Coturnix japonica: one gene and its partner. The protein of the gene in region 2 binds, or shares a complex with, the protein of the main gene of each other region. Links are inferred from orthologs where the notes say so. Each region holds a gene or a part of one and is shown on either strand. Other genes may lie near its edges.

The links.
Region 1: TAF1C (region 2) and POLR2F share a complex: the UniProt entries of both Homo sapiens proteins name them as parts of the pol I pre-initiation complex. The link is inferred for Coturnix japonica from reciprocal best matches to the Homo sapiens genes TAF1C and POLR2F.

Annotation. Positions count from the first base shown.
Region 1 is NC_029516.1:46,598,878-46,603,161, forward strand, and holds the start of POLR2F (DNA-directed RNA polymerases I, II, and III subunit RPABC2), read right to left. Parts: upstream 2,813-4,284; 5' UTR 2,716-2,812; coding exon 2,696-2,715; intron 2,390-2,695; coding exon 2,320-2,389; intron 2,231-2,319; coding exon 2,100-2,230; intron 663-2,099; coding exon 591-662; intron 1-590. Other genes in the region: C1H22orf23 (UPF0193 protein EVG1), read left to right, coding at 2,876-2,954, 3,154-3,216, 3,685-3,870. UniProt on the Homo sapiens protein: DNA-dependent RNA polymerase catalyzes the transcription of DNA into RNA using the four ribonucleoside triphosphates as substrates.
Region 2 is NC_029547.1:8,327,153-8,331,479, reverse strand, and holds the start of TAF1C (TATA box-binding protein-associated factor RNA polymerase I subunit C), read right to left. Parts: upstream 2,911-4,327; 5' UTR 2,819-2,910; coding exon 2,687-2,818; intron 2,313-2,686; coding exon 2,219-2,312; intron 2,060-2,218; coding exon 1,953-2,059; intron 1,867-1,952; coding exon 1,771-1,866; intron 1,688-1,770; coding exon 1,614-1,687; intron 1,546-1,613; coding exon 1,298-1,545; intron 1,221-1,297; coding exon 1,110-1,220; intron 1,023-1,109; coding exon 899-1,022; intron 819-898; coding exon 747-818; intron 658-746; coding exon 522-657; intron 434-521; coding exon 305-433; intron 202-304; coding exon 27-201; intron 1-26. Other genes in the region: TMEM8B (transmembrane protein 8B), read left to right, coding at 3,066-3,246. UniProt on the Homo sapiens protein: Component of the transcription factor SL1/TIF-IB complex, which is involved in the assembly of the PIC (pre-initiation complex) during RNA polymerase I-dependent transcription.

The DNA of each region.
Region 1 (4,284 bases), on a different chromosome or scaffold from region 2:
ATGCAACATAGTAACCTGCTTTCTACACTGGCAAACTGTGTGCCACCAGGGCACTCTGCTGTGGGCCTCTAAGCAGTGATCCAGAAACTGCCAGAAAAGGTTCAAATCAATCTCTCTGTATGCAAGAGGTGCGTCTCCTGCCAGCACAATAAGCCAAGTATAGAAGGGTGCAGTGAAACAACATTCTGACCAGAGTCTCCACATCACCACCCTGACCCCAGTTTTGTTTATTTAAGTCAGCAATTCATCTGAGCACAGGTCTGTTCAGAAGGCTGCTTCAAATTAATTCCTTTCAGAGAATTAAACTGATTCCTTATGGGGATCTTTGGTTCTCATCATAGAAATGACTCTTATATAAAAAGAGGTCAGAGCACTGCTCATCATCAGCAAGAACTCCTAGGATGGGAGAAGCTGTGGAGAAGGTCCAAGGAGGAAAAGTGGAAGGAAACTGCAGAACTCACCGTGGTTGATAAAAAAAGAAGGTTGTCTTAGAATATACTGCATGGAATAAGTTGTAAAGTGCTGAGATAAGCAGAGGATAGCTTGCTTTGTAGAAAACAATACATACACTGCCTAAGGCTGGGACTTACTTGAGTTCTTTCATGGCAATCAGCAAGGGGTCTGTCTCTCCTTCCAGCTCCACCATCACGGGTGCACACATCCTGGGACAAACAGCAACAGCCATTTCAGAGAATGTACAGAAAGACAGAAGGGCCAACATATGACTGCATGCTGCACTCTTATCCACTCTGGGACAAAGGTTATCCCCAAGTGGCTACGGATTGAGTTTTCATTTGAATGCTCTTAATCCACCCCTCATCCTCTGCAAGTCAGCTGGGACTTGAGTGCTGGTCAGAACCACACCTGTCTAGTCTCACTGTGCTGTACTTATATGTGAAGAATAAGGGCAGATCTAAAATTAAAAATAATAGAGTTGGAACACTATAAAATGGGAATCTGACTTGCTTGAATCTTCAAGGCTTCCTTCAAAGGAAAACAAAGGGCTAGATTTATAATGCACTCTATCTCTAGAGCAAAAAAACAAATGCGTTTTGGTGAGGGCTGTAACAGTAAAGCAAACACAGTTGACAACTGTCTCAGGTGGCAGCAGAAGCAACAGAAGTTCACATTATGTGTGGGTAAAGCCACTGGGGGGCTGCTGCTGGCCTAGAGTCAACATCAATAGTCAACAGAATACGGAGGTGATAGAGACCAGGCACCAGTGTTTTGTATTAAATGCCTGGCACTGGCTCATCCCATCTCTTCCATCCTTCTGGCCTGCCACCAGTTGAAACAACATGCACAGAATTCCTTCCTGGAGTGATAACCAGGCGAAGAATAGCTCAGCAAAGTGATGATTAAGCAAAGATCACATAGAAGCTCATTGGTGGTAATCGAATCAGCTTCATTTTCAGGGTGGATGTAGCTAAGATTCCTTTCAGACCAATTTCAACACAGCCTAATCATCTCACTTACACAGCAGTTTCTCAAAGATCACAAAGGTTTTAGCAGGCATTACTAAAACAGATCTGGACAGATAAAAGGAAGAATTTGAGAGGAACTTGTCTTAAGGAGTGCTTAAAAGAGGATTTAAATGTTATTACCTATTAGAAGTGATGCTCCACTATTCCAAATAGTTAGTGAACATACAGTGTGCCACAATATAACCGTATGCTTAGTATTTCAAGACAGCTGTGCCATTCCTAGAGTTCTGATAGCCTTGTGATAATAATTAATGATATTACTTTATTACTTTTATTCAGCTTCCTCAAAGCTGAACTTTGCAGTAGTAGTTCTGAGTTTCCCAGCTCATGCTGGCTGCCTTATAGAAGGCAGAAAGCAGAACCAGAATGCCACGTTACCCACTCCATCTGCTTGTGACCCACAGCATCAGCTGGGGTGAGATTCAGAACTCACGTGTGGCTGACAGCTCACAGTATTGCTTTTTATTGCTTTTCACTGTTGATGGAGATGGCGATTCCCAAGCGGAACCGCCAGGTAAAGAATCACTTAAGGCTTTAGGGAGAAAGGAAGGAGCTTTAACAGGTCAAGCCATGAGAAGCACACAGTCCTACAGCAGGGATCCAGCTAATACTCACGCGATCTGGAGGGCACGTGTGCCCAGCACTCTGGCTCTCTCATACTTGGTCATGTAGGGGGTGGTGATTCGCTTCTGGTTCGCTGCCTGGCGCTCTCCGGAGGGGAGGATCTCCACGTTCTCCTGTCCCTCCTGGGTAAAGCACAGCACGACACAGCACCGTTACGGGCTGACTCCATGACCCGGAATGATCCATGATCGGAGCCCCGCAGAGCACCCACCTCCTCCACGTTCTCCAGGTCATCCAGCCCCTCGTCTTCCTCCACATCATCGAAGTCATCCCCATCGAAGCTGTGAGAGACAGGCAAGCACACATCGCACACAGGCCGGGAGACAGCGCCTGGACTCGGACTTAGCGCTGGACCGTCTCTAAGTCCAGGCTTTGATCTCTGATCCCAGCCCCCAGCCTCAGCCCTCAGCCCTCAGCCTCAGCCCTCAGCCCTCAGCCCTCAGCCCTCAGCCCTCAGCCCTCAGCCCTCAGCCCTCAGCCCTCAGCCTCAGCCTCAGCCTCAGCCTCAGCCTCAGCCTCAGCCTCAGCCTCAGCCTCAGCCTCAGCCTCAGCCTCAGCCTCAGCCTCAGCCTCAGCCCCACTCTCACTTGTCCTCGTTGTCCGACATCTTGTTTCCTCGCTCCCCGGCGGAAGTACTACCCACTTCCGGTCGTGCGCCGTGACGTCACGTTTCCGGAAGTAAACCGGCGGCGCCGTTGCCACAGAGACAGGACGCGGCTCCGCCTGCCCCGCTGTCCCTAATTGTTCTCCCACCGTCGCCACCAGCCATGGCCTTATCGACGGGAACGAGGCCAGCGGGAAGAGGCAGAGCCCGGTACAGCCCCGAGACACGAGAGGTGCTGAGAGGTAACGGGTTATGAGGGATGGAAGGCCGCGGGGACTCGGGGAAGGCGGTTGTGGGCCCTGTCCTGGGTCCTGTGCTGGGCCCTGTGCTGGGCTCTGTCCTGGATCCTGTCCTGGGTCCTGTCCTGGGCCGTGTCCTGGGCTCTGCGGGGCCGGGGCAGCCCACTGTGCTGTGTAGTAACACGTAGCTGTTGTTTTTTAGCCCTGATGGAGGAGTCGAAGCTGACGAGTTTCCAGAGGCGATTCCTGATGGACTGTTTGAGGCGTGAGTGCTTCCCACCTGGCACTCCTTCCCCAGCACTGTGCTGAACGCTCTCTGCTGCTTGCACTGCGGCCTTCTAGTACTTGAGGGAAGCTTACAAGGATGGAGATGGACTTTTTACACTGCGTAATGGTGACAGGACAAGGGGGAATGGCTTTAAACTAAAAGAGGGGAAATTTAGGTTAGATATTAGGGAGAAATTTTTCACTGAGAGGGTGGTGAGGTGCTGGCACAGGCTGCCCAGAGAAGCTGTGGGTGCCCCACCTCTGGAGGTGCCCAAAGCCAAGTTGAGCAGCTTGACCTGGTGGATGGAAGCCCTACCAATGGCAGGAGGTTGGAACAGGGTGGTCTTTGAGGTCCTTTCCAACTTAAGCCATTTTATGGTTTTATGACCTTCTGCTGGTGGTAGGCTGGGGCCACTTGCCCAGACTCCTCTGCATCTGACATCAATATGTTGGGTTTGTTCTCCAGGGGGAGATTCTCTGCCCCTCCAATGCCACCCTACCTCCAGCCAAGAACAAGTGCTCGCGCCTCCTGCTTCCTCCCCACCGTGCCATCAGCCAAGCAAGCTGCCAGCTAAACCCCATCTTCGGCCTGCTGAGGTCTGCCGAGCAGGAGATGCCTACATCCGAGAGAAATTCAGGCCACAGGCAAGGCGTAAGTAAGCAAACATCACAGATAAATAAATCATGCTGTCCAGTTCTTCTCTTTCCCTTATGTCTAACCCCTCAGCACCTTTAGGGAATATCCTTAATTATTCTTCATGCTTTCTGTCTTCAAAGATGCTTTAAAGGGAGATCTCTGAGGGAGCGCCTGCTGCAAATGCTCACAGAGTTCTGCCTGCTGCCCAGGGGGACAATAGGTGACAGGAACTTGCACAATCCTTTGTAAGAAGAGATCACTGTGTAATTTTCTAGCTTGTAAACAAGGGTGAAACTTTAGAGCTCAGACTGGTTTGCCCATTACCATGTGTAGCAGAGTTCAGTCTGGGGCTGTGCTGTCACTTACATCATGCTTCCTCTGCCATCGTTAACAGCAAAGCAGGGCAGGCAGCTCCTTGCTGAGGAGACA
Region 2 (4,327 bases):
CTGCGTTCCCCTACCTGGTTTCTCACCTGTGTACTGCAGCAACAGCAGCTCCTGAGTATGAGAGGTGCCCAGCAGCACTTTATGACTCCTTCCAGACTCTCCCGGCACAACATCAGCGAACAGAGGGGGGAATTTCATCATGTGTGCCCATTTCAGCACAGGCACCAGCGGCAAACGCTCGTCCAGCAAGTACACGGCAAACTGAAAGGGGGCAAAACTCAGCAGGGTGCCCCCCACCTGCATCCAAACCAGATGCACGAGGTGGGTGGGGAGGTCTGGGGACACTGAGCCATGGAGGACTCACCTGGGTGGCAACGAGGTACTGGCAGGGGTGAGCCCTACCCAGGTACATGGGCAGTACCACGCGTTCACCCTTCTGGCACTTGGCTTCCTCACCCACCTTGAAGAAGTTGAAGTGGCATCTAGTGGGGGCCTGCAGTGGCATAACAGGGTGCTGTCAGCACCATGGGGCTGACATAGGTCACCCCACAGCCCACCCTGAACCCCGTTCTCATGCTCACCCGAGTATCCAGGCACAGGATGCCAGTGCGGTCAGCACAGCTCAGCACCCGCGGGTGAGCAGTGAAGTCACTCCAGCGCCAGGGTGAGTGGTCCCGGAAAAACAAGGTCTGGGGGTCATGGCGGAGCCGCTGCAGCCTGTAGGGAAAAGGACAGAGCTCTTCCTTGCTGTGGGGCACCCCTGCCTCCTGCAGCACCAAACACTGGGGATCAGAGCCCCAACTCACCCTGTCTCTATGTTCCATAGATAGACAGCTCCACTCTGCGTACAGACTGACAGCTCCCCAGGCAGGTGTGGGCTGTGGGGCAGAGACATGGCGTTACATTGGAAGGCTTGTAGCTGAGGACCTTCCCAGAGCTCTGTATTCCCACCACACACCTGACGGTGAGGCAGGAAGCTGGCACATCAGTGTGGATGACCTGCAGTGAGCTGGGGGCAGCCCCTGTCTTGCCTGACATCCTCCAGACACCACAGTAATAGTCAGAGCGAACGCCAACAAAGTCTAGTAGGAGACAGGAGAGAGGGCAGATGAGAGAGCAGGGATGCCACTATCTCTGTATGCAGTGCACATGTCCCAGGGCTTACTCACCCTGCCCATCCACCCGGGCAGCAGCTACTTGCCGGATGCGCCCGTTGAGCTCAAACTGCACTGGCAACCCCTGGGCCCGCGGCTGCTCCTCCAGCACCACATTCTGGAAATCTGGAGTGCAGGCTAAGGGCACTGCCACACAGTGCTCCCCTGTCCCAGAGTCCCCCAAGTATCATAGGAAAGGATACAGAGGTGGTTCATGGCCAACCCGCCAGGGTACACCAGGCATCCCATGTCACTGCTTGCATCCTGAGGGGGCAGCCAGGCTAGTGCTCCCCCTGTGGAACTGTCATCGAAGAGCAGTCTGGTCCACTGTAGCAGCAGCTCTTCATGCACGCAGTCGGCCAGCAGTCCCAGTGGCACCTCAAAGAGCCAGTCCCGGCACAGGTGAGAGAACAAGCGCAGGTGGTTGGCATACGGATGCCGAGGGCAGCCACTGTGAGGGGACAATCAGTGCCAGGTAGGTGTCGGAGCCCACCGCCCTCCCAACCCAGCAGCACTCACCGCCTGGCTTCCATATTGTTGATCTTCTTCACCATGGATGTCATACGGATGGTTGTGTCCTTGGCACTGCCTTTCTGCAGGGAGGAGAGAAGTGCCACTATGAACAGAAAGGAGGGGGTACACCAGTGCCCCCCTCAGCATCACCAAGGACACTGACCCCGAGGCTGTAGTCTCCCAGGTGGAAGTTGTTGTGCAGCAGCTGCCCCAGGGAGCTGAAGGCGTCCTCAGGATGATCCACAAAGAAGTGCCCTAGCTGCGTGGGGACAGCAGTGTGGGGCTGTGCAGTGATGTCATGGTGGAGCTCAGCCCTGTCTCCTCAGCAGCACCCAAGCCCTGTACCTGCTTGGCAAAGTCCAGCGCAGCCCCAGACTTCCCAGTCTGCAGCTTTCTATGCAGGACACCGTGGTAGAGAATATCCTGAGCGGTCACACTGGGGACCGAGCAGCCTGTGAGGGGGCAGGGGGCGGCGGGGGGGGGGGGGGGGGGGGGGGGGGGGGGGGGGGGGGGGGGGGGGGGGGGGGGGGGGGGGGGGGGGCTGCCGAGTGCGTCCCAGCACCAGGTGGCAGCCCCATTCTCAGCCCCCCCTGTGCCCCCTCAATCCTCACCCACGTTGGGCGGCAGCAGCGGCACCGCCGCGGGCTCAGCCGGCGTCCAGCTCTCCCCCTCGTGGCTGCGGAGGGGCACGAACGGCGGCAGCACCTGCAGGGACAGCGGGGAATGGAGGTGAGGGTCAGTGCCCCCTCAGTACCCTCAGAGCCCCCTCAGTACCCTCAGAGCCCCCTCAGTGCCCACAGAGCCCCCTCAGTGCCCACAGAGCCCCCTCAGTGCCCACAGAGCCCCCTCAGTGCCCTCAGAGCCACCTCAGTACCCTCAGAGCCCCCTCAGTGCCCTCAGAGCCCCCTCAGTGCCCACAGAGCCCCCTCAGTGCCCACAGAGCCTCCTCAGAGCCCCCTCAGTGCCCTCAGAGCCCCCTCAGTGCCCTCAGAGCCCCCTCAGTGCCCTCAATACCCTCACTGCCCCCTCACTCATTGCCCCCCAGGCCTCCCCCATCCCGTTCCCCCGTTACTCCTCACCTGCCGCCGTCCAGGCCCGGCCTGCAGCACCTCTTCCCGCTCCCCCCATCCAGCGGCCGGAGCCGGACGCCCCTCGTCCCTGGTGGGGCCGGATCCGAAGTAAGAAGGGAAGAGCACGCCCGGGAACTCCATGGGCGGTACCGGGGGCGGTAATGGTGAGCCCGGTACCGGATCCGGACCGGAAGTGCTGCGCACGCGGTCCCGACGCGGTAGGAAGTTGGATGACCGGGAAGGGCGAGGCCTAGAGTGCGACAGCGCCCCCTAGCGTGTGGGAGGTATCATGGCGAGCAGAAAGCGGGGCCGCGCCGGTTGTGAGTGACAAGCAGAACCGCCAATAGGAAAATTGGGGAGGGAGAAAGGGGGCGGGACGGATGACGTCATGGTCGCCCCTGCGCGGCGGGGCTGCTGGAGCCGCGCGCCCCTCGGCAGCCGGCGCGGTGGGATGGGGCGGCGGGGCGGCGGGCGGGGGCGGCCGCTCACACCGATACCCCTCCTCCGCCTGCCCCTGCTGCTCCTGCCCCTCCTCCTCCTCCTCCTCCTATGGCCGCCGCCGCCCGCCGGTGAGTGTCGAGGGGCCGAGGGGGTCGGGGAGCTGAGCGCTGCGTGGGGGATGGGGGTGAGGAAGGGGGGAGGTGTGTGCTTGTATTAATGGGGTGAGGATGGAGCGCAGACCGTCCGCAGCATCTGCCCGCCGTGGGATGACAGTGTGTGTGATGGGGTGCGGGATGTGTGTGCAGCGAGATGTGGGGTCAGTGTGCAGCAGGGCACGTTGATGTGTGGGGTACCCCACATTACACCATGCAACTGAGTATAGGGTGCGTGGGCAGTGGGGCAGGACGTGTGAGCACAATGGGGCATATTCATGTGTGATGGGAGATGGCAGTGGGGTGTTGGCATAATGGGACATGGAGATGTGTGTTCGGTGGTTATGCTTGACAATAAGCAGGCTGTGGGGCACGCGTGCAATGTGGTACATAGGGAGGGCTCAGAGGTGTGCGTGCTGGAGGGACACAGGTGGTGTAAGTGCACAGGGACACCCAGAGAGAGGGGTCAGACTCATGGTCAGGGGTTACGGGGATCTGCAATTGCAGCGTGTCACCTGGACAGAGGGCTGTGAAGTGGGGCAGCAGGGATGCATGCAGTGCGGGGGATGTGTGTGCAGTGAGGATGAGTGGGGGGACACTGGAGTGAATACGTGATGAAATGAGTGTGCTGTCGGGCTCTGGAGCTGCCTTCATTTGGGGGCTGCGGAGGGGTATGCGGTGTTGTGTATGGGGGATCACGGAGGAAGGGGGCCGAGCTGTGGAGTAGAAGCGCTATGGGGCCCTATGGGGCGGCTGGGGGAGCTGTCCGTGGTCCTGAGCCCGACATCAGGTGAGCTGTCCGTGGTACTGACCCTTCTGGGAGAGGAGGTCGCCTCTCTTCGGCCTCTGGCCTGGGGCAGAGGCGCTCTTGCTTTTCTCCTTTCTCTCTTTCATAGATAGGAAATTCTGTTCCATCTTCCTGCTTTTCTGCCTGTGCTGTGGCCTCACTGCCGCAGGGCTCCAGCCTGACTCTCCCTGTGCACCTGTGTGCCCTCACTTTACCTCAGATGAGTGGGCTCCAGGAAGTGTAATGGGGTCAGGAAGCTCTGCGTGCTTT